4 linked regions of the Schizosaccharomyces pombe genome follow. The gene in region 1 interacts genetically with each later gene. Each region holds a gene or a part of one and is shown in the gene's direction. Other genes may lie near its edges.

The links.
Region 2: mutations in its3 (region 1) and efr3 are lethal when combined (synthetic lethality), as found in Schizosaccharomyces pombe (one study listed by BioGRID).
Region 3: of its3 (region 1) and ptn1, changing one enhances a phenotype caused by changing the other (phenotypic enhancement), as found in Schizosaccharomyces pombe (one study listed by BioGRID).
Region 4: of its3 (region 1) and gyp10, a mutation in one rescues a mutant of the other (synthetic rescue), as found in Schizosaccharomyces pombe (2 studies listed by BioGRID, with this or other methods).

The regions. Positions count from the first base shown.
Region 1 is NC_003424.3:4,070,499-4,075,536, forward strand, and holds its3 (1-phosphatidylinositol-4-phosphate 5-kinase Its3), read left to right. Parts: upstream 1-1,637; 5' UTR 1,638-1,877; coding exon 1,878-3,628; exon of another isoform or gene 3,629-3,681; coding exon 3,682-3,793; exon of another isoform or gene 3,794-3,796; intron 3,797-3,889; coding exon 3,890-4,255; 3' UTR 4,256-4,538; downstream 4,539-5,038. Other genes in the region: protein Poz1, read right to left, coding at 1-115, 153-258; trehalose-6-phosphate phosphatase Tpp1, read right to left, coding at 4,769-5,038. UniProt on the Schizosaccharomyces pombe protein: Catalyzes the phosphorylation of phosphatidylinositol 4-phosphate on the fifth hydroxyl of the myo-inositol ring, to form phosphatidylinositol 4,5-bisphosphate. Involved, together with the calcineurin ppb1, in cytokinesis.
Region 2 is NC_003421.2:263,438-268,846, forward strand, and holds efr3 (protein efr3), read left to right. Parts: upstream 1-1,950; 5' UTR 1,951-2,007; coding exon 2,008-2,207; intron 2,208-2,247; coding exon 2,248-4,444; 3' UTR 4,445-4,569; downstream 4,570-5,409. Other genes in the region: dihydrolipoamide S-acetyltransferase E2 Lat1, read left to right, coding at 1-962; tef101 (translation elongation factor EF-1 alpha Ef1a-a), read right to left, coding at 4,660-5,409.
Region 3 is NC_003423.3:3,159,522-3,163,831, forward strand, and holds ptn1 (phosphatidylinositol-3,4,5-trisphosphate3-phosphatase Ptn1), read left to right. Parts: upstream 1-2,207; 5' UTR 2,208-2,301; coding exon 2,302-3,348; 3' UTR 3,349-3,420; downstream 3,421-4,310. Other genes in the region: SPOM_SPBC609.01 (Dis3-like exonuclease family protein), read left to right, coding at 1-1,691; iqw1 (WD repeat-containing protein), read left to right, coding at 3,651-3,711, 3,757-3,850, 3,897-4,310. UniProt on the Schizosaccharomyces pombe protein: Acts as a phosphoinositide 3-phosphatase and regulates PtdIns(3,4,5)P3 levels.
Region 4 is NC_003423.3:1,240,594-1,245,063, reverse strand, and holds gyp10 (GTPase-activating protein Gyp10), read left to right. Parts: upstream 1-1,892; 5' UTR 1,893-2,118; coding exon 2,119-3,240; 3' UTR 3,241-3,633; downstream 3,634-4,470. Other genes in the region: SPOM_SPBC651.04 (uncharacterized protein), read right to left, coding at 1-217; nit1 (nitrilase superfamily protein), read right to left, coding at 3,830-3,966, 4,024-4,039, 4,100-4,470. UniProt on the Schizosaccharomyces pombe protein: Has a role in vesicular trafficking and septation during cytokinesis.

The DNA.
Region 1 (5,038 bases):
AATGAAGAAGGGTCAAGCGAAAGATTGAAGCAATACTCAATGAATGCGATATCCATGAATATCGGCATTTTTTCATGACACATTGATTTCGAATAACCCAAATATCGTAAGCAGGCTAATTGGTTAATGATTTTCAAGATTGGCTTTCATACCGTTCACAATGGAAGATTCTTCTCTCTGCATATCATAATGATTTTCCTTGATGAAAAACGTTTCTAGTGTATTCAGCACAGATTGTGAACGAATCTTCTCATTCATTTTATGGAAAAAACTAATCTATACACGAAGGATAAAAGTATAAAAAGTTGGTAAAGTCAATGTAAGTTGGTCTACGAGATAAAATGAATACCATTCCGTAAGAGAAAATAAATCATTTAATAAAGAAATCTAAAAACGAATGGATCGAATAGCTTTGTCTACTGTTATGTTTCTTGGAACATCGTACAGAAGACGAATTTAACTCCTTAAAGAAGTGTATTTTGTTTAATGTTATAAATTATTCCCTTAAACAGTGAACTGCTTTATCCAAAAAAGCGGTAAGCAAAATTTCCAAATGAAAAAAGTATTTGAATGGAAGATCGACTTTGGCGTGACAAAAGAATAAATTTTACTCTCCATTTTAAGTCCTTCATTTTCATAACGCTATGCCAATTACCTTGGATCACGGTGGTGTTTGTGCCTTAAGACATGAAAAGCTTACGAAATAAACATGCTTTAGGCGATTGATCATTTCTTCCAAGATATTTTTCCTTATTCAATCTCAAAAATTACTCTAATTTGTTATTTGCTAGAACTAAATGATCCATCTGATTGAATGTTTTTACTACCCAAGCCTCTTAAGATTCTATCCGAAGTTCTTTATTTACTTGTGCACAAAACCCGAAGGAATGGGAAAAGCAATTATCTATCTAGTAAGACAAAAAACATTAGATACTGTCCTTTGATTATAATTTCAATGGATTCTTAAAGTTGAATATTCAGTGCTAGCTTCTTTATATTATAGACATTCAAAGTAAACTTGAGAACGAAGAAAAGGAATATTGGATATTTCCTTTTTCTTTTTGTTAAATATATATATATATATATATTTTTGGAAAATAAAAATAAATTGATATGTTTGAAATAAACGAAGTATACGTTATGTGTATCTTACTTTAATTTTTTTTAACTTTATTTTATTATTTATTTTTTTTTTAAGGAAATTTCAAATCTTTAGATTTTCAAAATAGCTCAATCATTTGCTGTACTTATCCATGCAAGCTTAATCATTATAAATTGATTAATAGAGGTTCTAAAAAGTAAGCCTTTATAAAATTGGATTTACAGCATCCAGCTCTTCACGCAACACACCCATATCGATGCTTTTGTTTACGTTGAGCAGATTCGTTTTGTTTACATTCAACGAAATCGACGTTGTCAACGACTTCAAACATCGCAAGCTTATGGACTATTCGCAATAATGGAACTGGGTTTCAGAAGTTTTTGGCTTGGTAAATTCGGGATTGCTCCTTTCCCATACAGAAAGCGATAATTTTATCCATTTACTGCCATTAGTGCGAATTATTGGAGAATGTGCCGGACAATTCGGTGAACTCCGGTGACTTTATATATCTAGGGAAGAAACTGGTAGAAACAACACTTCGCTGGTATCAAGTGTTTTGCGGTGAAAGAGTTGATAAAAAAGAGAATTAAGCTGCTCTTTTCGGTAAATTAAAACATTTTGAATAACTTGGGAAAAAACTTGCTTTTGTAGGAACTGAAAAACGACGAAATTGACGTCTTCAAATTGTTTGTTAAAAAACGGAATCAAAAATTGTGTTTGGAGTCCATTGGCGAGTAAATTTTTAACTCTTCATATATGTTTGTAGGAAACACTAATGAAAATTGATTCAAACGGCATAGTGAATCCGCATTCTATAACGAACGAAATCCCTTCGTATGATGAAAAGCAGGCTGTCGATTTGAATGGGAATGCTTTTGCTCCAAATGGTACGTTTCAAAAAAAGGATTTGATATCCCATAAAAACGATTTCGAACGTACGATGCGCCACGATGTTCTTCATACCAACCCCAAAATCGAAGTTCGGTCGGAGACCCATATTTATGAACCTAACGATTCATTATTTAAGGAAAATCAAGATTTCCCCTCAAATCCCACTGCCCACTCTCCTTCTTCCTCTTCTAACGATTCGGTAATTACGGCTACTGGCGTACCTGATGGTATCTTGAGAGATTCTCCCATCGTAAGTGCCCTCGAGCCTCCTTCCTCCAATTCTTCCTCTTCTCCCCAATTACAAAATTTAAAGCATCAATTATCCTCTCCTCAACCTTCTCGCGCCCCCATAGATCGCTCTTCCTCCAACCCTGTAACCTCATCTCAGCAGCCACCTAATGATCGTTCCACGCTCAGCTCCTCGCAGAAGGCGAAGCGGCCGCTAAAGCGATCTTACTCCGAAAAAAATTCTAGCAACGCTGAACCTTCTGGCTCGAGATCCGGCGACCGAGGTACCAACGTCAGTACCTCGGGTTCTCTTTTGGATGGCATTCCCCCCGATATTGGCTCTGCTAGCTGGGCTGAAGCAGTCAAACAAAAACGTGTTAACATGCGCCGTCGCAGGGAAGAACTGGACGATGAGTGCGTTCTCGTTGGAACTAGAGTTTCAGAGGGCCATGAAAACTATGTTACAGCGTACAACATGCTTACTGGAATTCGCGTCGGTGTTTCTCGTTGCCAAGCGAAAATGGACCGTGAGCTTACTCCTGCTGATTTTACTGCTCGTCACAAGTTTACCTTTGACATTACTGGCAACGAACTCACTCCCTCCGCCAAGTATGATTTTAAGTTCAAAGATTATGCACCTTGGGTATTTAGACATCTAAGGCAGCTGTTTCATTTAGATGCTGCAGATTATCTTGTATCTCTTACCAGTAAGTACATTTTGTCTGAGTTAGATTCTCCTGGGAAAAGTGGTTCTTTTTTTTATTTTTCTCGTGACTATCGATTCATTATTAAAACAATCCATCACTCTGAGCACAAATTTTTGCGTGAAATTCTTTATGATTACTACGAACACGTCAAGAATAATCCGAACACATTGATTTCGCAATTTTATGGGTTGCATAGGGTAAAATTACCCTTTGGCCGAAAAATCCATTTTGTTGTAATGAACAACCTTTTCCCACCTCATCGTGATATCCACCAAACTTTTGATCTCAAAGGATCCACCCTAGGAAGGGAACTCGACGAAAATCAACCTTGTCAAAGTCCCATGTGTACAATGAAAGATACAAATTGGATTCGCAGAAATATGCATCTTCAGTTTGGTCCTTTAAAGCGTCAGATATTCTTAACTCAGGTCAAAGCCGATATTGATATGCTGTCCTCTTTAGGAATTATGGATTACAGTTTACTTGTCGGCATCCATGACCTTTCACGTGGTAATCGTGACAAAATTCGTAATAGCATTCTGTCAGTTTACGACCCAAATGTGTCGCAACATCGAGTGCCCTCGATTAATGGCAATGAATCTCACTCAAACGTTCATGTAATCAGACAAGTCGTTAATAGCACCGGTCCTGTTTCGTTGGATCAATCTTGTAATCTATTGCCGACCGACCAGTTCGTTGAGTAAGTGCTTATTATTTTTTTAACAATTAGACTATTTTTTAACACTATTTTAGGAGAAGAAACTTCATGTTCTACAGTGATGACGGTGGATTCCAAGCCACCGATGAAAACAATGAGCCAGGAAACTTTATCTTTTATATCGGAATAATTGACTTACTTACTAAGGTATGATAAATTGCGTAAATTTTTTTATGGGAATGCAAAGTCTTTTACTTGTTTTCCTTGTTTGCTTTTATTTTCATTATACTTACCGGTGTTTAGTATTCATATGTTAAGCGCGTTGAGCATTTATGGAAGGGCATTAATCATTCAGATTCTGTCATTTCTGCTGTTCCACCTGCTGAATACGCTTCACGCTTCTACAAATTTGTAGAGTCAAGTATTAAGCCAACTCTTTTAGTTTTGAAACCATTCCCCTTAAAACCGCAGGATGGCCAGCGTGTTAACAAACAGCAAAGCGTTAATGCTGGCAATGTGCGCACTAATAACAAGCATGGTTCTCTTAATAATAATACAGCTCCTTCTTCTCGCAATGCTAAAAGCACTTCTGCTCATAAATCACCCAAAACAGAACACCGATTTCCATTCCCATGCCGCAATGTTACTACGAACACTTCTTCATCTTAATAAATTTTAATGTCTTTGAAGTGCACATATTTCAAGTTTAATGCATTTATTTATAATGCTTTACCACCTTTTTATTCTTGTATATATTGGCTAATTTATCTTTTTATTTTAGAGAAAAAACAAAGCAAAGCATGTATGCCGAAGTGCATTAACGGATGCACAACCTATAACTTATTGCTCTAATTAGCGCTTTTATTATTTACATCTCAAATAACTTATGTTCGTCAGTTCCTCACCAATCTTTGTCAAAAAGCTATATTATTATGATATAACTTAAAATTCATTAGGAAGAAAGTATGCTTTTGTAACGAGTAAACGTATGTACTTAGAAAAGAGCGATTCATAGTAGTGGAAGTAGTTCAATTACGAAGACCTCTCAACTAAACATAAATAACTAGAGCATAAATTAATTTAAAGGCTGAACTAAGATCCAGGATTGTGTGTCTCAATAAATAAATCTTTGTAAAGAACAAGATGAATCGGGCATCTTCGTTGAAATAGTTAGTTTGTCATTCAGTTAGTAAAATTTGCCAAATCAGCAAGGATATCAATAACATTTGCAGGGTCTGCGATACACCAGTCGGCGATAGAAAGCTTTTTGTCGGATCCAATGGTAACTGCAAATGAAGTTTCCTTGTTAATACGAGTGTTTTTATGCAAAGAGCGGAACATATCTTCATCAGTTCTATCATCACCTGCACAAAAGATAAAAGAAGGAAGTGAATCTTCTGGATACGAACTTAAAATCTGTTTGACAATTCCTCCTTTGTTGATACTGGAAGG
Region 2 (5,409 bases), on another chromosome or scaffold:
GCGAGAAACAATCAAAAGAGACCTCTAGCCCATCTAATGTTTCTGGCGAAGAACGCGGTGATCGCGTTTTTGCTTCACCTCTGGCTCGCAAGTTGGCCGAAGAGAAGGATCTTGACTTATCCCAAATTCGCGGCTCAGGTCCCAATGGACGTATTATTAAGGTCGATATTGAAAACTTTAAACCTGTGGTCGCACCTAAACCTTCAAATGAGGCTGCTGCTAAAGCTACAACTCCTGCTGCCTCCGCTGCCGACGCAGCAGCACCTGGTGACTATGAAGATCTTCCTTTAAGCAACATGCGTAAGATCATTGCTTCTCGTCTTGCAGAAAGTAAAAACATGAACCCTCATTACTACGTTACGGTCTCGGTTAACATGGAAAAAATCATTCGCCTCCGTGCTGCCCTCAACGCCATGGCTGATGGACGCTATAAGCTTTCGGTTAACGACCTTGTTATCAAAGCTACTACTGCTGCTTTGAGGCAAGTTCCCGAAGTTAATGCGGCTTGGATGGGTGACTTTATTCGTCAATATAAGAACGTCGATATTTCTATGGCTGTTGCTACACCTTCTGGTTTAATCACTCCTGTAATTCGCAATACTCATGCACTCGGTCTTGCAGAAATTTCCACTTTAGCTAAGGATTATGGCCAACGTGCCCGTAACAACAAATTGAAGCCTGAGGAATATCAAGGAGGCACATTCACCATCTCTAATTTGGGTATGTTCCCTGTTGATCAATTCACTGCTATCATCAATCCTCCTCAAGCCTGTATCCTTGCTGTGGGAACCACTGTTGATACAGTTGTTCCTGATTCAACCTCTGAAAAGGGCTTTAAGGTTGCCCCCATAATGAAATGCACTCTTAGTTCCGATCATCGTGTTGTTGATGGTGCTATGGCTGCTCGATTTACCACCGCCCTAAAAAAGATCTTGGAAAATCCATTGGAGATTATGCTTTAAAATAAAGCAAAAGTCGGGTTGCTCATACTATCATGCAATTATTTTGTCAATAAAGGTGTTTACTCAGGTTATGTTTTCGGAGCTTTAACAGGAGCTTACGATCAATCGTTGTAGGTAGATTGAGCATTCTTTGTTTCTTGTATACATTTACTACTACAATTGGCTGTTTGAAAAAACGATTTTATTTACTAAGTGACTTTGTTCCGTTTCTGTCTTATAATACTTTGCTTGCTTTGCAAGCTTATAATTTTCCTTCCTATGTTTATTAAATATTACTTTTGTTTAGAATTAATAATACTTAAGTAATCTTGTTGATATCGTTAGTATTGACGGCAGGAAGCGCAATAATAGCTACGTTAAGTGCTGTTGGGTATGTAAATTATTGTTGTTTTATTCAATATATTTCAATAGATTGTTGCTTAGTAAGTGATAACCGACATCCCTTGTTTTAAACCAGTTCAAATGTTCGTTTGCAAATGGATATCTTTAATAATGTCTATTGGCATCAAAATCTGGCTTCTTAATTCATAAAAGAGATTTAAAGATATAGGGAATGTTTAAGTTTTAGAGAATATGAGCATGTTCGGTAAGAAAAACTTTCAGGAAAGGTAAGCAGGAATAAGGATATAAGGCATGTTCTATAACCTTTGATAAAGTCATTTAAATATTCGAAAGTTGTTTTCGCAGTAAACGCTTTATTTATGGCTCATGAGTCATTTCTCAATAACAAGATCATTTACATATGTCTGTAAACTCATTAATCTTCAGATCAGTTATTTTTGGTGGCGTGTTCCACTTAAGATAGCAGTTTGCACTAAATAATTAACTGAATTATACGGATCACTTTTCTATTTTTTGTGTTTAGAGGATACCGGTAGACACATTTACTCAAAATAAGCTTACACAAGCGACTCGTTTAAAGTTACCTTAATACGTCATTTTTAATACGTGAAGCTATATATTGATTTTGATCATCGTACTACTCAGAAGTATCCGTTAACCAACTAAAATTGCTGTCCATGTGATAGCCAGTTTTTTAGGTCCTATGTGGTTACTATTTCGTTCTAAGCATAAGAAGTTAGTCCTTCGATGTTTTCCTTCGGGGAAACTAGGAGAAACGGAACCGAATGGGTCACCTCTAGCATACCTAAGTTATTATGCTGCATCCAATTCGAGTAAACTGAGAAAAGTGGCTCATTTTTTAGGGAGTCGTGTTCGTCATAGCTATTATCATAAACGTGATAAGTAAGTTCCTGTTTTAGGCTCTATTTCTAAATGTTTTTAGTGAGGTTATTATCGGATTGAAAATATGCAAAACATTGGTTCAAAAATGTCGGGATAACATCAACGTGATGGCCTCCGAAGTTGTAAATATGCTCCTTGTTGCTAGTTCGTCAAAAAATTTAGAAGTTTTGTCTGCCTGCGTTGATTGTTTTGCTACGTTTTGCGATAATAGTGGAAAGGGGAGTCCTGCCACTTTTGGCAACGAATTCCATTCTGCTTTTAATAACTTAGTCAATTCATTTTTTGAATTATCAAAAGGTATTGATTGTGTTGATCCTCAGCAGTCGAAAATGCTTGGCCTGAAAGCATTCCATGCTTTAACCGCATGCAAGTTTGCTGGAACTGAAGGCGGAATGCGTTATCAACCTCATTTTGCTATACATTGCGTTTTGATTAATTCTTGGAGTGAATCAGATCAGGAGAAGAAGTCATTTATTGATTTGGTTCGTTCCACGGCTAAATCATATAAGCCATTGCCTCCTAGTAGTACTGGTGTTTCATTACCCGAGCATGATGAAGCGGGTGATAATATAGATGTTGCCATTAAGAAGTTATGTATTAGAATTTTGTTCAACATATATACTCAGACAGATCCTCTGTTTATGGCCGAAAGTACGAAGTCCTTGATACATTTTTTTGCAGCAAAATCCGACACTCCGGTAAATCTAGAATACATATCTGTCGTGCTTAACCAAATTTTGGATTGGACTCCTGTTGAACTTCGACATTCGATCTTTTTCTGTTGTCTTCGTTGTTTATCAAGTTCTCGTATTGTCAACTCTGAAACTAATGTGATGGTGCCATACATGATTTACTCCATTCTTAACTCGAAAAACTCAATTTCTGGCTTATCCGTTATTGACGTGTTACGTGATTTGGGGTCGCATCTTATCAACGCTGTCAATTCATTCGATGCTGATGACCAAACTTGGTATAATATGTGTGAATCTCCATCGGAAAAGCTCCCTAGGCGCCTTTATTTACTTTTGGTTTGTATCACCTGTTTAACTAAGCATCAATATTACGATGAAGAATTTGCTGATGTATGGCGAGAAATCGACACTCTTGCTAATTCTGAAACTTCTTCTGCTATACAAATGGTAGCTTTAACAGCTTTTCATAAGCTGCAAAATGAAAAGCTAAATACAAAAAAAGAATCCAGTGCTCCTCTCTCTTTAGTTACCGACTTTTTGTTGCATAGCTGGCCCAAATCCGCTGAACGTCTTCACACTTCCCAGTCACCTTTTGTACGAATAAAAACTGCTGAGGTGTTCTACGAATTTTTGTGCTTTCTCCGTCCATCTTTAATAAATTTCGATACTATTTTACGGAAAAGTGCAATCACATCATTTTCTGTATTATGGGATTTTATATATGAAACCAGTTGGCATATTGAACGTTGGCTCAAGGTGTTTTCGGTGCAGTCTGAATTTTATATTCTAAAACTCATCATCCAAAGGCTTTACCAGCTTTATGGTCCAGTTTCTGTAACAGCGGTATTACCTGCTATGTATCGCGGACTACGACCCTTTGAAAATGATCCTCCTCGCTGTATTGCCGAGGCGGTTACTGCTTATTATATCATCTATATTGGAGAGAATTTGAAGATCACAACTCTTCAGTCAAGTGGACGAAAGTGGCTTGATTCATTATCTAGCTCATTACCTTCGAGTCTCTTGAACAGAGGTTCTTCTACGCATTCTTGGGAGAAACTAACAAATGCCTCTACCGAGGAAGTCATGTTGCCTTTGGACATGGTTGTAAATGAATTATTGGAGAAAAGCCCGAAAGTATTCCCAGAGGACTCTAGACTACTATTTGCTGAGCAATCGCGACACCCCAAGTACACCGATATTATTCAAAAATTAAAGAAACCGTCTCGCGAAAAGTCTTTTACTTCTTCTTCAGAATATTCACTTCCATTTATATCACCGGCTTCGGATTACCAACAAAATCCTTTACTTCATGCTACCAAGTCGCTCGTTTCTATTCACCAGCAATCACAACGTGGAGAAATGGTTAGCACATTGAAACAGGCTCTATCAAGGCCACACACTGCTAGTACTGTCGTACGTTCTCCGTCGGAAATAAATCTTACAAGACAAACGAGCAACCGTGTACCTCTGCTTGATATGTTGAATCTTAATCGTGCTATGTCTCCGACACCTATTCAAAGTCCTCCATATGTACGCACTTAGTTCTACATATACATATTTTGCACTTAAAAAATGAAAAAAAGAATTATCGTTGCAAATCTATATTTAACCATGCAATTTAAATTTCAATTCCTAAGTTATAAGTAAATTTAATTACTGAGTAGTATACCAAATTATATTAATCAACAATATAACATTCACTAGCCTATCCTGATTACAACAACTCAAGATCTACTTAAATCCGAAGTAAAAAATGTTTACTTCTTGGCGCCAGCCTTAACAGCGGCCTTAGTGACCTTAGCGGCACCAGGGGCAACCTTCTCAACGGCCTTGATGACACCGACAGCGACGGTTTGACGCATGTCACGGACAGCGAAACGACCAAGAGGAGCGTAGTCAGTGAAAGCTTCAACACACATAGGCTTGGAAGGAACCATCTTAGCAATGCAAGCATCACCAGACTTGACAAACTTGGGGGACTCCTCAATCTTCTTACCGGAACGACGGTCAATCTTCTCAATGAGCTCAGCGAACTTGCAAGCAATGTGAGCAGTGTGGCAATCCAAAACAGGAGAGTAACCAGCAGAGATTTGACCGGGGTGGTTAAGAATGATGACTTGAGCGGTGAAGCTAGCACAACCCATGGGAGGATCGTTCTTGGAGTCACCACAGACGTTACCACGGCGAATATCCTTGACGGAAACGTTCTTAACGTTGAAACCAACGTTGTCACCGGGAAGACCAGCGTCGAGAGACTCGTGGTGCATCTCAACAGACTTGACTTCGGTAGTGACACCAGCGGGAGCGAAGGTGACAATCATACCGGGCTTGATAACACCAGTCTCAACACGACCGACGGGAACTGTACCAATACCACCGATCTTGTAAACATCTTGAAGGGGGAGACGAAGAGGCTTGTCAGTGGGACGTGCAGGGGGCTCAATGGAGTCAATAGCCTCCAAAAGAGTCTTACCCTTGACGACACCAGCCTTGGTCTCCTTTTGCCA
Region 3 (4,310 bases), on another chromosome or scaffold:
CGCCTATCCCTGCAGAAGAGCTACAAAAGCGATACAATTTACGAGATAAGTTAACCTTCATGATTGGAACGCGTGATTATGCTCTCCATATTGATACAGGCTCCATCGACGGAGTCATCACACTTGGAATACACGTTGCAGACGTCGCGTATTACGTTAAGCAAGATATGCCTCTTGATGATGAAGCTGCCAATAGAGTATCAGAAGTACAATTGTTGCAAGGTTCCGTACCCTTTTTACCGAAAAAGGTCTCAGAAGAGATTTCCCTTATAGAGGGACATGATTGTTTAACAATTAGTATAGTTGTACAGCTTGATTTGAAAAGCGGCGCTGTTTTACAGTGTTCCCTTGGGCCCTCTGTAATCCACCCGTCAAGTTTTATTAGTTTAGAAAGTGCACAAGCAAACTTGCAAACCAACGAAGCGCTTCAGCTAGTTGATGCATCGGCCCATGTCCTTACCAAACTAAGATTGAAAACAGATAAGAAACTTGACTTACAATCCTTATACTGCTTTGAATTTTGCGATGGGCAGATTCCTAATATACAGAATATTAACATGAGTATTTTTGAGGCATTCCCTATTGCATGTTCTTTACAACAAATTGAACATTGGGTAAACGAGAAAGTTGCATCTCATTTAATGTCTGTTTTTCCCAGTAAAGTGATTTTGCGAAAAAATCAAAGACCTTCTGACTTTGCATCTCTTGTTGCAGTTTCTGAGTTAACCGGAGTGAATTTATCTGCTTCATCTACTCCTTCGGAAATCATGACCGAAATTGCAACTACCAAGGATAAGAGAACCAAAATGTTACTACAATTGACTCTAAGAAGAATGTGTAATGAATCTGAATACACTATCGGTACTTCAAATGCTAAGGATGTTTCGCATTTTGTGTTCTCTTGTCCTTACTACACCCATTTTTGTCACCCTACTCGTAGATATATCGATATATGTGTACAGAGACAATTACGCGAAGCCTTTGATGGCAGACCAGACTTTTCCAAAGACTACAGAAGTTTACTTTCTATAACTCAGTCTTGTAACACACTGAGCAACTTCTACCGTAATGCCCAGGAAAAAAGTCTACATGCATATTTATGTCAACTTCTCCATTCTATTAATTTACGATCTGGGCTCGTTAAGCATAAGGCTTTTGTTTTGGCTGTTGACCAGGAGTATATTGACATAGTCATATACGAATTTGGCTTGGAAAGAAGGATCTCCTTGGATCTGCTACCGCTTAGTAACTGCGACTTTAATGAGCAAAAACACGAACTCTATTTATCATGGAGGACAAATGCTTCTTTCTTTTATGCTTCATCTTCTTTGGAAATTGATACACCTTGTTTCAATGACTTTAAGAAAAAATTTTTGGATTCCAACGGGATGTGCAAACAAATATGCGATATGATGGATGCACAGGTTCGGGATTTAGCTAACGCTGCTGAGTCCCAGGAGTCTTTCTATTCAAAGGCTCGAGGCAATGACAGTACTAGTAAAACAGCTAAAAGTTCCTCTGGCAATCAGGATATTTCCGGAGATGGAAAACTTCATAGTTTACGTATGAAAGAGCCTGAGGTTGTTCAAACCATCCGTCCAGGCCAAGAGGTTAGTGTACTTATATTTGCTGATACTTCCGCTACTTACTCACTCTCGTTAATTACTTTACAAAGTCCTCTATCCAGTTAATCTTCAATAACTGGTGATCTTCGCTAATGTGTATGCCTCACGATTTATTTTTAATGTATGATTAATTGCATATGTCTAACGTTATATACTTCTACCACTTATTTCTTTTTACCTAAACGTTTTGGATTTATTTTAGAGGATTCGAATAATCGCATGGGTTTGTTTGTTTTTTGGTGGACTTAAATGTTTTTAAGGATTTTTATCAAAATATTTTAATGCTTATTTACGGTTCATGTCTTACGATTGTATTTCTTATTGGCTTTTTTTATTCATTTTTCTCATTTTTTTTTTTTTATTTCTTTATTATTTTTTTTTACTAGTAATACTTTTGCATCGTTTAAAGGGAAAAGTTATGCCCTTATGTTTTTTTCAATAAAATGGATTATCAAATCATTGCTATCAAAATATATAAATAATTAAAAGTAAATTAGTTATTTATTCACGTCACTATGGTTGATACCTACCCGCTTAAAGTTCATTACTAAAATCTTTATTGTATTTCTCTTATTTTCTTCTGAACAGTGCAGCTTACCTCATATTTCAACAGTCAACGGCATCTGCAGTATTATCCTAGTATATTACAAATAACTAATTAAACATGTAATTTTCCATGAATATACTTCGATCAGTAGTTTCGAGGGGTCGAAAAGGCCTCAAACAAGAAAAAGTGAATCGTAGCTTTGCTTACTTAGATATGGTTTATATTACTTCCAAGGTAATTGCTATGTCTACACCGGCTGCTGGAATACATAAGTTATATCGAAACGACGAATTGGATGTATTTAAATATCTTACAACGCAATTGAAAGACAACTGGATATTGTTGAATTTATGTGCCGAAGAAACAGTTTACCATTTGGAATTATTTAAACCAAATGTCATAAATTATGGATTTCAAGATCATAATCCACCTCCGCTTCTCTTTTTATGGGCTATTGTTATGAATATGGATGCACTCTTTCAAACGCAACCTTTGTTGACATTGGTAGTTCATTGTAAGGCCGGAAAAGGACGTACAGGAACTGTAATATGTAGCTACTTGGTAGCTTTCGGAGGCTTGACAGCCAAGCAAAGTCTTGAACTATATACTGAAAAAAGAATGGTTCGAGGGCACGGTCTTACCATTTCATCGCAAATACGTTACGTCTATTATATCGAAATTTTAAAACAGTTCCCGAATTATTTGAAAGCTGTGGAATTTAATACTGGTACCACTTTTTTTAAAAGTTTTAAATGTTTGAATATTAAAAAAAATTCATCTTTGATTCTATCATTGCATGCCTTCTCTAAGGGACGAAACATAAATCCAGTTGCTCTGTGGAAGAGTTCAGATATATCATCCCATAATGTAAGCATAAAAGAAGGAAAACGTATATGGGGGATACAATGCAACCTAGAAACATCGGAGAAAGACCTTTTGCTCAGAGTCGAACGCAAGGGCCAGTTTTACTTTCCTTCGAGTGTGCAATGTTGGTTTCATACTCACTTTCAACCTATGCTTGTGGAATACACAAACGGGATAAATTTTCAACAAGGTATAAATTCCTTTCTGCAAGGACAACAGTCAATTTCGTTCTCCTGGTCTGAAATGGATAATAGCCGACGAAGTGACCCCTTTTTCGAACAACTGACAATTGTATATGAAAATGTTTTTTGATATTTTGTAAATATTATATTAGTGTAAAATAAAATGATTATTTGTGCAATTAGATCCTCCTTTCGATCATCGAAATAAACTCACATGTTGAAGTGTTTCTACTTCAGTAAATTACAGAGGCGCTTCAAGTTTTTTTTTTAAATTTTAAAAAAAACATAGGAGTTTGAGTTTAAGGCTTATACTCTAAGATTCGAGTTTGCAGTTACGATTTATGGTATTAACTCATCGTGGCTACATTACCGACATCCACTTGAATTGAGCTTGTCTTCCACCAACGCTTGTTAATCGCTGAATTGACTCTCATGTCTGGGATATCACTATCCTTGCGTCAATTGGATTATAGAGATTGGTTTCAGCGAAAAAGTATGCTCTTGTTTTGTTTTTGAATGATGCTAACTAGTTTATTAGTCAGTCGAGATATCTACGGCAATTCGACTTGGTTGACCGGTATAGATTTGCAGAAAGAATTAACTGGTCATACGGGATGTGTTAATACACTAGAGTAAGTGTTTTATAACAATTTGTTCTACAATGCTTACAATTTTCAGCTGGTCCGCGGACGGTGAATTCTTGTTATCAGGAAGTGATGATACAAGACTAATTGTCTGGGATGTTTTCAATGAATACAAGCCACGGCATTTAATATCTACTGGCCATGTTCAAAATATCTTCAGTGCGAAATTTGTCCCATATTCTAATAACCGGCAAATATTGTCTGCTAGTGGTGATAAGCTTATTAAGTTGTTTGATTTAGATTCAAGTAAAGAAGGAGGAATGGATCACGGCATGGAGACTCAAACTAGATGTTGGAGTTGTGCTCTTGATTCTGTTAAAAACATCGTCCCTTGTGACAATGGTCATACTTTTCTAGTTTGCAGTGAAGATGGGACGGCTCGTCAATACGATATTCGTGAGCCACATGTCTGCAATCAAGATTTGGATTGTCCTTCTATACTGGTAAA
Region 4 (4,470 bases), on another chromosome or scaffold:
GCTCTGGAATATCCAAATGCGATAAAGAGATACTCTTCATAGTTCCAGCGAGTTTGAAGAGGCAATGAAAAGGTTTTTTCTCCCCATGGTGTTTCGGATTTTTGAAAATCGATTCATATTGCGTTCGAAAAACGATACTTTTCCAACGGGGACTCCACTTCTCCCATTGTTCAGGAGAGGCATAAATATGTAGCTTTCCGAGTTCAGCGGAACTCATTCAAAGCTCTTTGCCTGTCTATATACTCAAAAGCTTTCGATGAAAGATGGGATGTACAATGTATACGGAGAGGCGGTAAGAGGAAAGATAGGTCTAAGCAGCAAATTTGCTAATCCAAACGAAAATTCGAATACCAGCCATCTGTAGTTATCAGATCGCTGACCCACAAATATGTTACCTTGATCTGACTTATCTAAAGTAGCAAAATCAACACAAGAAACCTCGCTGTAAACAGAAAGGATGTTGTTTGATAAATGTTAGAACATTCCAATATGATTTTCACGATTATAGGTTTTTAATGAAGATACCTTTTCACTCAGATTGCTGGGTTTAGCTGGTAGATGATGAGAAATAAATTGGGAAAACTAAGATTCATCATGAATACAGACCTAAATATGTTTCAGCAAGTTTGAGTATGCTTTTTAAGACAAAAGCAGTAAATTCTTAACTTCACACTTCTCAAATCATATCCTTTCTATCTGAAACAAGCCATTCCACTCAAAATAAATCCAGAAACTATCTGTTTAATATTATAGTAAGCCCAACTGAATTAAGCACGGATTTTTGAAATATAACAATATGTAGTTTTAATCTAAAAGCTAAATAGATTGATGTATTGCCTATTTTAACTAATACAAAATGAAGCGATACTTCAATAAAAGAGCCACCTCAAAAATTTATATTAATATTTCCTACTAGGATTATATTAGAATTAGGTATTCTTTTTATCAAGCTTAAGTATTCGCTACTTTAACATGTGGATTCATTACTGATGGTTTTAAGTCATCGCTTATTTTTTTCTTTTTCGTAATAATTTCTTTTACATGAATGTCTCAACATTTGCTTGGGGTCAAATCGAGTTTTCAGCAAATACCATTAAATAGATTTTAATTAAAAAATAAGAAAAATTTTTCAAAATTCGTTCATCTTCAGGAGAGTATTCTCCCTCGTTTGAAGGGGTTCGTTTTATTTTTTATATTATATTTATTTATTTTTTTGGAGGAATGGTGTTATTTTAACGACTTACCCGCACAAAACTTTTGATACTTTGGATATAGCATTATTTGGTGGGAAAGTAAAGAAGATTTATCCGCAATCGTTTTACAATGACAGCTAAACAAACCCGCAGGATCTACAGCAGGGAACTGTTTCATTTGTCAAATATTCATACGGATATTAATTTTATTATTTGTACAATCCACCATCTAATAGTAACATAACGATTTCGGCAGTGCATACTGATATTCTTTCCTTAATTTGAAAAAAAGAAAAGAAGAAAAGAGAAGAAATAAAGAAAGTTCTTCTTGTTTGATTTGATGGAAGTCTCTCCTTATGAGTTGACACACATGCTGTTGAACTTTACAGCTATTTATAAAAGCCCTTCTACTTTACTTCGCCATCATATATTAACTAGCAAAAAAAAATTTCATAAGGAGATGGTATAGTAATAATACTAACGATATTCGAAAAAAAAAAAAAAACCGTAAAAATGCTTCGTTTAAGAATTTTTATAAAATTTTAAATTTACTTTCTTTCTTTCTTTTTAAAGTTGTTAAAGATCTTCTTTTATTAAGGTTGTCGAGAGGGTGTTCGGCGCAGTTGTTCATTGTGTTCCTTTTCATCTTCTGATTTTTTTTTTCCCATTTAAGTGGGTACGTACATCAACCCACAGACCACTAACTGCGCCCAACTTTTTTGATCCTTTATAAAACGGTGTTTTAGATGCCAAACGAGATATTTTATTAAAGAAAAATTTAGCTATTTATGAAAAAGTAAAGGCCTGAGATTAAAGGATTTCAGGATTCCTAAGCAAAGTGTGATTTAGTTTTCAGTTCAAAATTTCAAAAATATTCTTCTTCAAATATTTCTCCCTTAAGGGAAGTGGCGATTTCGCTCATGAGATGAAGAAGAAGGAGATAAAACAACTAAAAAATGAAATCAAAATTGCATTATTGAACTCTGATGTCGAAACACTTTCCCACATTGGCAAAGAAGGACATGGCTTCCTCATGAAGAGTCTGCGCAAGTCTGTATGGGTCAGTCTTTGTGGTTTATCGTGTCGACATCGAATGGAGTGTCTTTCGAGATCTACTTCTCAGTCTTCTTATGCCGACCAGAATCAGGTTCATTTGGATTCGGAACGATCATTCTTTCAGTACAAGTTGAATCCATTTCTACTTCGTAAACACCGTTCTCAATTGACCAAGCTGCTCAGTGTAGTCTTTAAGCATTATCCGGAACTATGCTACTATCAAGGTCTTCATGATATTGCCCAGATCTTGCTTCTTACCCTTCCTTTCTCTCATGCTCTCCCTTTAATGGAGCATCTAGTATTTTACCGTCTTCGGGACTTTATGCTTCCTACCCTTGATGGCACGGTGAAACAATTGCAGCTAATTTTAGCAGTTATCAAGGCTCGCGATCCCACTCTTTATGAGTATTTAATAAAGGCAGATATCCAGTGTTATTTTGCTCTTTCATGGTTAATCACTTGGTTTGCACACGATGTTTCAGACATTTCGGTGGTATGCAGGTTATTTGACTTCTTCATCTCTTCTCATCCTCTTACCGTCGTGTACACGTGTGCTCAGGTTGTGCTTGATAACCGTACTTCCATTATTGAGCTTTTATGGGATAATTCTGGTGCTGATTTATTGCATAGCTATTTGTGCAAACTTCCGGCGTCTATTAACGTAAATCAACTAATTAAAAATACCTGTGCAACTATATCAGCAGTACCCTTTTCTTCTCTACCCTTGGACCGATACCAAATTTCTCCGTACAGTTGTCTTCGTAATACTGGCGATCCTTGGGAATATATGTCTCGATCCAATGGATTGCTTTTATTTCGACTTCAACTCGCTGAATTGCAGGAAGAAAAACACAAGCCTGGCACCAAGGTTCCTGCTGTTTTTCTTCAAGAAAACATATTCAATGGTTGCAACATGCTTGCGGCCATTACTGTAATAGGCATCGGTATTGTCGCATCTCAACTTATTCCAAAGTCCACATCCAATTCTTAGTATTTTAATCGTTTAATATTACTAATTCATGCAAGATCCTAAATTGAATAGGGTCCTTTAATTTATATTCCAAATACTACTATAATACGGTTATTCTTTCCACGCATGGGAAAGAATGTTCGGGGGGTTTCCGCAGGGACTATATTTTGTTTTTTATTTTAACTTTTTTTCTAATCACAAAACAACACTTTTGAATCAAAGTGATTCTGAAGGTGCAGTCATTAATGATTTTTCATGCTTTATTGTAAGAAGTCTATTTCTTTTTATTTTTTTTAATTTTTCTTCTTTTTGTCTGTGTATTGCACTTTTCCTATATGATGCCTAATCGTTATACATATATAAATTATGCATTAATTAATAAAATAAGTACTTACTTTTTGCATTCCACTTCGATTCTATTATGTTTACTATATCGAGCGCTCAGTAATTTACGGTTTTATGGAATTATTTAATTGTCGCAAATTTATTTTCATAGTATTCAGGCTTTAATCTTGCAAATCCGTAAGTAATAATGAATACTTCGTAAACAAGCCGAAAAAAAATTTTCTCTTTAATTTAAATTGAAATCACCTCAGTTTGTATAACAGTGCTAAATGGTCGGGTATAAATCGTTTCTACGTAATAGTGGAATATAAGTTCGTACATGGTCAACAAGATTCAAATCAAGGTCAGCAAAAATGAGGCCATTCGGAGAAGAGATATCACTGTATTGAGCAATAACAGTACCTAGATGCATTAGAATTTCAAGTTATTTTACCTAATAAAATTGTCAAAATGACATACCCCAAGGGTCAACAATCTAAAAATTTTAATTAGCAAGAATTCTTAAACAGACAGGTGAAACTTGAAGACGACATACCATGGAATGACCATAACTAGCACGCTTCTCGTTATGCTTTCCACCTTGCGCAGGAGCTATAACATAACACTGAGAGTCCAAAGCGCGAGCTCTCAACAGCACTTCCCAATGAGCAGCTCCGGTCTTTTCAGTAAAAGCACTAGGGTATGTGATAATGTGAGCACCCATGTTTCTAAGCTTTATAGCTTGTTCTGGGAAGCGGATGTCAAAACAAATTGCAGAACCAACTTTGCCTAGAGGGGTTTTACAAGGTGGGAGAATAGCTTCACCACGAAGTGTAGTATTCGACTCTTTTAAAGTTGGTCCATTTTTAATTTCAACATCAAAAAGATGAGCTTTGCTGTAACGGCTAATGATTTCACCATGAAGAG